2 linked regions of the Macaca mulatta genome follow. The protein of the gene in region 1 purifies or fractionates together with the protein of each later gene. This does not show direct contact. Links are inferred from orthologs where the notes say so. Each region holds a gene or a part of one and is shown on either strand. Other genes may lie near its edges.

Region 1 (3,745 bases):
CAAAGAGCTATTTATATATATATTTTTTGAGACGGAGTCTAGCTCTGTCGCCCAGGTTGGAGTGCAGTAGAGCGATCTCGGCTCCCTGCCACCTCCGCCCCCCGGGTTCCAGCGATTCTCCTGCCTCAGCCTCCCGAGTAGCTGTAGCTGGGATTACAGGCGCGTGCCACCACGCCCAGATAATTTTTGTATTTTTAGTAGAGACGGGGTTTCACTGTGTTGGCCAGGCTTGTCTCAATCTCCTGACCTCGTGATCCACCCGCCTCGGCCTCCCAAAGTGCTGGGATTACAAGCGTGAGCCACCAGGCCCGGCCACTATTTGTATTTTACACTTGATCTTGGCCAAAAGGCCAAGAAGCGATACTATTTATATTTTTATAATACTTATCCCCATCTAACATACTACATACTGCAATTATTTATTATATCTTTTGTTTAGTGTCTAATATCCTCCTCCACCTGCACCCCAGCAGAATGTAAGCTCCATAAGGACAACAATATTGATCCATTTTGTTGTCTGATGTAATCCGCTGTACGCCCTGGACAGAACCTGCTACAAAGTAGGAGCTCAGTAAGTATTTGAATGAATGCATCGTGGCACGGGAAGAACCCAGAAGAAAGGGGCGGCTGAAGCTGTGAAAGGAGCAAGTGGCCTGGCGCGGGGGCTCACGCCTGCAATCCCAGCACTTTGAGAGGCCAAGGCGGGCAGATCACTTGAGGTTAGAAATTCGAGACCAGCCTGGCCAACATGGCGAAACCCCATCTCTACTAAAAATACAAAAATTAGCCCAGCGTTGTGGTGGGCGCCTGTGGTCTCAGCTACTCTGAGGCTGAGACAGAGAACTGCTTGAACCCGGGAGACGGAGGTTGCAGCGAGCTGAGAGCGCGCCACTATACTCCAGCCTGGGCAAGAGCGAGACTCCGTCTCAAAAAAAAGAAAAAAAAAACAAAAAACAACTGTGTGTGTGTGTGTGGGGGGGGGGGCGGGTCAATAAACAGAGCAATACTGTATATGTAAAATACAGAATAGTATGGTACCAAGAACACATAGATGGAATGATCTGTAGCACTTCTCAATTGTATTACATTCAACGAAACCGTTTGGAGCTGGTTCTCCCCCCTCCCCCACTGTCTTTGTTTCTTTGGGAACCCCCACACGGCACAAACCGTGTTTTAATTCCTATTCTCTAGTGTGCAGATAAGTGCCTGGCACGTATTAAGTTGTCAAAAGAGGTCGTGAGCAAGTTAACAAATCACTGCTTCCATGTCCCTAACTACTCTTAAGCTCCTGGAGAAGAGATTTCCTATCTCTTGCGCTTCTACTTCAACGCCCACTTCAGAGAGGGCTCAAAGTAACGTCGTGAACTTAATACGCAATAAGGCAGCGCCCAGAGGCGGAAGAGGCAGAGTTTTTAGCTCCGGCCACGTGACGAAGGTGGGCGGGGCGTCAAAGTTCATATCCCAGCGTCCTTTGAATCAACTTCCTTTTTTCTTTTTTCCGGCGTTCAAGATGTCGAAGCGAGGTGAGGTTTTGCTTCTGGAGGATCCTCCACCATCTGTCGTGCAGTGGCTGGCGGATTCGTCAGGAGCGGTGGCCCTAGGCAGCTGGGGCGCTTTGCTCTCCTTCAGGCCGGAGAGGGAGAGCCAGGCCATCGCAAGAGCACTGCCAGGGCCCTCGAAAGTGGCAGTGGGGTGCTGGAGAGTTGACATAGCAGGATCCCGACATGAATATAGTCTGGATCCCGCGAGATCGCTCTGCGAATAGGGCTATCGTATTGGGGTTGAAGTTAGACTGGATTAGGCCCTGGTTTGCGCGACCTCTGCGGTCTTATGCTTTGCAGGAGCAATTGCGTTTTGCGAAAGTTGGAACAAGGGCTGAGTCGTCTAGGTTCCTTAATTTCGATGTCAGAGTGGTAATAGTGAGAAATAGGCTACTTTCCGTGAGAATCGGGTGGCACACGGGGAGGGCATAAGTAAAATCCGAGCGAGCTAATCTATAGCATACCATCTGTCAAAGTATGTGCGGTGAATTACAGTTTAAGAGTATGAGGGGGAACTGCGAACCATGTCTAGATAGTGATCTCTTTATCCTGTTTACCTTCCCTTTATATCCACAGGACGTGGTGGGTCCTCTGGTGCGAAATTCCGGATTTCGTTGGGTCTTCCGGTAGGAGCTGTGATCAATTGTGCTGACAACACAGGTGAGGTCTTTGACTGCAGGTTGCTATACTCCCCCTTTTAAAAGCACTCAATGGGCCTGTGCCTAATGACCTATTGAGCCGTCAAGAAAGGGGAGAGTGAAAACATCGCTTTTGGGTGAAGTGGCAACATGTTGTGTTGTTTGCTTCAATCGGTGGTGTGACAAGGCGTTCTTGAGGACTAACTGCTTGGGCAGTCAGTGGAGGGAGGGACTTTGGAAGTGTTTGGGAAATGTAATACTGATGGAACGGCCTGATGGGCCCTCAACATTTTTCATTTTTATTTACATTGATTTGTAGGAGCCAAAAACCTGTATATCATCTCCGTGAAGGGGATCAAGGGACGGCTGAACAGACTTCCCGCTGCTGGTGTGGGTGACATGGTGATGGCCACAGTCAAGAAAGGCAAACCAGAGCTCAGAAAAAAGGGTGAGTAAACACTGAGCCCACCTTAACACTGATAAGTAGTGGGGGGACTCTTTCCTTTATTGGAAAATGGATCAGTTTTCAAGGCCTCAAGGTTGTTTTCCATTGAGAGGCAATGTGAGATAAGTATCTTAAGTTTTTGTTCATATTATGTTGGAGGGGGGACCATCATCTTGTCATTTCCATACTTTAGATTTATTTATTTATTTATTTTTTGAGATGGGTCTCCCTCTGTCGCTCAGCCCACACTGGAGAGTGCAATGGCACGATCTTGGCTGACTGCAACCTCTGCCTCCTGGGTTCTCAAAAAAAAAAAAAAAAATTAGAAAATGAAAACGAGAAGCTGCTCATTATTTTATTTTTATTTATTTATTTTTGAGATGTAATCTCACTCTGTTGCCCAGGCTGCAGTGCAGTGGCACATATCTTTCTGTTCACTGCAACCTCCACTTCCCAGGCTCAAGTGATTGCCCTGCCTCAGCCTGCCGAGGAGCTGGGATCATAGGTGTGCGCCACCACACCCAGCTAATTGCTCATTACTTAATCTCAGGCTACCCCCTCATAAGTTTTCCTGTCAGCTGTATGATTTAAAGGGGGAGGCCTCAAAATACTTGCAGTTTGTGTCCTGTCCGGCTTTAGAACTTCTGGTATTTGATGCATTTTAACTTCAGCTCTTGCAGTTTTTTCCTGTGCCTGCCTAGTCTGTCTCTACCCTGGGATGTCTTGCTCTTCTAAAGAGTTCATGGCCATCCCTTGAGTTACAAATATGATGTTGATTTGTTAGCCATGTGTTACAGTTACTCCTATTCCTGTATCCACCCCACGATGCTCTCCAGTAGATTTTTAACCTTTGGGTTAGAAATCTTTTTTTGTTTACCATTAATAGCCACTTGAGGGCTTGGTAGCACTGTGCTTGTGATTCAGCAATTGCATGGGCTTTTTCCTCTTCTCAGAACACTTCCTGGGTCTGATTGGTGGCCCAGGGAGCTGTTAGAGAAGAGCAGAGCAAATGGCCATCACTTTGTAGATGAGATGGCAGGAGAGTGGATTGTTGGTCTCAGTCAGTGGTGGGACAGACCAGAGCTCAGAACACTTCAGTTTTAAAACGAGCTGTGAGTATC
Region 2 (3,745 bases), on another chromosome or scaffold:
CAACAACACTGTCTCTACCAAAAAATTTTAGCCAGGTGTGGTGGCACAGGCCTGTGGTCTCAGCTAAGAGGCTGAGGTGGGAGGATCACCTGATCCCAGGAATTTGAGGCTGTAGTGGGCTGTGATCCAGCCACTGCAGTCCAGGCTGGGCGACAGAATGGGGCCCAGTCTCAAAAATTACAAAATTAAAAAGTCACATTGTTCGCAAGATGTTTTCCCGCCTTTATCCCAGATGTGTGACCTCGAGCAAGAAAACCTTTCTGTACCCAACCGCCTCATCTATAAAATGGGGGTAATGACACCGAGGCCACAGAAGGCGACGGTGAAGTCGAGTTCCAATGCTTGATGTATACACATCCCAGGGTTTGCACTGCTGTTTGAGCCCCACGGGAGCAGGCGCTGCCTGCTAGCACCTTAGGTACCTGCATCTGACCCCCTGTTCCTGGTGCTAGCCCCGGATATTGGCAGGGTTGGCTCCTTATCTCTCAGCTTAGACTTTCTCAGGCTGCCCAGACCAACTCGCGCTCTGTCCCTATCCCTCGGATCGCCCCCTTATTCACCTCCTGCGTCCTCGCAGAAGAACTGAAGTCCTTAGAAGGCACGGCCAACCCTGTTCCCTCCCAGGACCCGAGAATGTGGCAGGGTCCCCTGATGTGCTATGTCCACATGGACACCAAGGTCAGTTCTTGGCCGAAGCGGCCAGCGCAGGGGCTGACCGCTCGGACCTCACTCCTCCCAGGGGTGAGTGGGCGACGCTGCCTCAAGTCATTGTCCTGCCCTCCAAGGTTCGCGCTCGTCCTCTGGCAGGACGCCCTGGCCCCGCAGGACGGGGGTGGCCTCCCAGGTAGGGCTGCAGTCGCTAAGTCCGAGGCGGCTGGCTCACCTCACTGAGCCCGGCTGGACATGGGGCCACCGGTCGCCGCGGCCAGGGAACCACCAAAGAGTCAGGGCGAGCCTACCGCGAGCAGCCCCCGCTCGGGCCCACGTGCCGTTCCGCGTAGGCCGGCGGCGCAGGCCACTTCCGGCAGCGGTGCACCATGGGACTTGCAGTTCGCGGGCGAAGGTTGCGTCCGGGGCGTGGCAGCCGCGCTGCATGTTGGGCGCTGTAGGCGCCGCGTGGCATGCTGGGAGCGCTAGGTACCGAAGGCAGATGCCGTCCCTTTGGGCTCGCTTCGTCCGTCGCCACCACGAGTTTCGGGGGACCTTCGCCCCACGCTATAAGAGCAGCCACTTCCGGAACTACTGGCCTTCGCCTGTGCCGCGGAAACTGTCTTGACGGGGCCGGGGGGGAAGTGTCAATGGCTTCTCCTCCATCGTCATTGGCTGAGCGCCTCGTGACGCCATTCTGAGGCGCCTCATGCGGCGCCCCGCTCGGGTCCCGGAGGCTTCTGGGTAGCGGTTTACCCCCGCCCCTTGCATCGGCGCCTTCCTTTTCCTCCCTGACACCGCCGAAGTCGCACGCGTGAGGCCTCTCCGCCGCCGCCGCAGACGCCGCCGCGTGAGTGTGATGACCCGGCCCGGGGTGCGGGCTGGGGACGCGGGGTCCGCGGGCATGCGAGGTGGGCGGCGGGGTCTTTCCGGGACGGAGGCCTACTGGTCTAGCCACACGCGGCCTCGTCCGGCGGCCCCGGGGTGGGCAGGCCGGAGGCCACCGGGATAACACCGCCGTCGCGCCCTCTCCGCCCGCCTCAGAATGCGCTACGTCGCCTCCTACCTGCTGGCTGCCCTCGGGGGTAACTCCTCCCCCAGCGCCAAGGACATCAAGAAGATCTTGGACAGCGTGGGCATCGAGGCGGACGACGACCGACTCAACAAGGTAGCTGCCGCCCTTGCCCCGCAGCCGCCGTAGAGCGCCGTACAGGCGATTTTTCTGCCTGATCCGGCCACATGCTGGAGGGTTCGGGGAGAGGCTTGTTTCAGTCCAGTCGGCGATGTCTCGGGTAGAGAAGTAAGCAGGGTGGGGGCCAGGTGCAGTGGTTCACGCCTGTAGTCCCAGTACTTTGGGAGGACGAGGCGAGCGGATCACCTGAGGTCAGGAGTTCGAAACCAGCCTGGCAAACATGTGGAAGCCCCATCTCTACTAAAAATACAAAAATTAGCCGGGCGTGGTGGTGGGTGCCTGTAGTCCCTGCTACTTGGGAGGCTGAGGCAGGAGAATCGCTTGAACCCGGGAGATGGAGGTTGCACTGAGCCAAGATCATGCCACTGCACTGCAGACTGGGCGACAGAACGAGACCCTGTCTCAAAAGGAAAAAATAAAAAGCTGGAGGGGTACGAGGCAAAGTCGTGATTAATGAGCTTTGGAAGTTTAATACAAGTGAGATGCATAAGATTCCTTAAAAAACAAACAAAAAAGGCAGTCCTGGCGAGTGGCTCACCCAGCACTTTGGGAGGCCAAGGCGGGTGGATTATTGGAGCCTCGGAATTCAAGACTAGCCTGGAAAACATCATAAAACCTGGTCTCCAGAAAAAGTTGAAAAAAAAAAAAGTTGTAGGCAGTGGTGCACATCTGTAGTCTCAGCTACTCAGGAGGCTGAGGCGGGAGGCTCATTTGAGCCTGGGAAGTCAAGGCTGCATGGAATAGTGATGGTGCCACTGCAGTCCCACAGAGCCAAGCCCTGTCTCTAAAATACAATTAAAAAAATCAAGGCCGGGCGCGGTGGCTCAAGCCTGTAATCCCAGCACTTTGGGAGGCCGAGACGGGCGGATCACGAGGTCAGGAGATGGAGACCATCCTGGCTAACACAGTGAAACCCCGTCTCTACTAAAAAATACAAAAAATTAGCCGGGCGAGGTGGCGGGCGCCTGTAGTCCCAGCTACTTGGGAGGCTGAGGCAGGAGAATAGCGTGAACCCGGGAGGCGGAGCTTGCAGTGAGCTGAGATCCCGCCACTGCACTCCAGCCTGGGCGGCAGAGCAAGACTCCGTCTCAAAAAAAAAAAAAAAAAAAAAATCAGCCAGGTGTGTGTGCTCACACCTGTTGTCCCAGACTGAGGTGGGAGAGTCGCTTGAGCCCGGGAGGTCAAGGCTGCAGTGAGATCCCACCACTGCACTCCAGCCTGAAGTCAAAGTCAGTTTCATTGACAGCTTATTTTGCCCGTGTTGAAGATACCTGTGAGTAGTCAACATTAAGCGGTGAGACATCGTGTGTTCCCTTCTCAGTCCTAAGTCTAAGAAACCTAGTGTCCATTTATTTTTATATCACTTACCAAGCGAGGGTGGTGGCTCCCTTTGGGCAGTGCAGGTCTAGAAACTTCAGGGCGTATTCCTCTGTGGGGGACCCAGTCCTGCTGTGATTCTGGAAGGGATAGGGCCAGGGATACATTTGCACTTTCCTGGTAACAGCTGTGTGATTATCTGCTCCAGGTTATTAGTGAGCTGAATGGAAAAAACATTGAAGACGTCATTGCCCAGGGTGAGTTGATGTGGAGGGGCTTTCATTTGTTTTCATGGTCCATCCTAATCCCTGCTGGTCCGTCTGTGGCCTGCCAGGTTTCGCTTGTGGACCAGAGCACCCTAGAAGCCTCACCTGAGGAGTGAGCAGGGCTCCAGTGGGCTCATGTCATGGGCGCTTCTAGACACTCCCAGGAGTAGGGCAGCAGGGGGCACCCTGTGTTCTCAGTGGACGTTTAGGTGGCCCTGCCTCTGAAGCTTGGTGTCTGGAGAACTGAGTTCATGTCAGCAGTTCTTACCGCATGCTTTCTGTGAAGGAGCTGGGGGCAGGGACTACGGGTGCCAGGGATGTT

Evidence for each region. Proteins that work in one complex are often made in the same cells at the same time.
Region 2: the proteins of RPL23 (region 1) and RPLP2 fractionate together in Homo sapiens (co-fractionation; 4 studies listed by BioGRID). This does not show direct contact. The link is inferred for Macaca mulatta from reciprocal best matches to the Homo sapiens genes RPL23 and RPLP2.

What each region holds. Positions count from the first base shown.
Region 1 is NC_133421.1:63,145,351-63,149,095, reverse strand, and holds the start of RPL23 (large ribosomal subunit protein uL14), read left to right. Parts: upstream 1-1,480; 5' UTR 1,481-1,510; coding exon 1,511-1,523; intron 1,524-2,117; coding exon 2,118-2,201; intron 2,202-2,232; exon of another isoform or gene 2,233-2,367; intron 2,368-2,498; coding exon 2,499-2,627; intron 2,628-3,745.
Region 2 is NC_133419.1:702,999-706,743, forward strand, and holds the start of RPLP2 (large ribosomal subunit protein P2), read left to right. Parts: upstream 1-1,456; 5' UTR 1,457-1,498; intron 1,499-1,692; 5' UTR 1,693-1,693; coding exon 1,694-1,816; intron 1,817-3,365; coding exon 3,366-3,414; intron 3,415-3,449; exon of another isoform or gene 3,450-3,583; intron 3,584-3,745. UniProt on the Homo sapiens protein: Plays an important role in the elongation step of protein synthesis.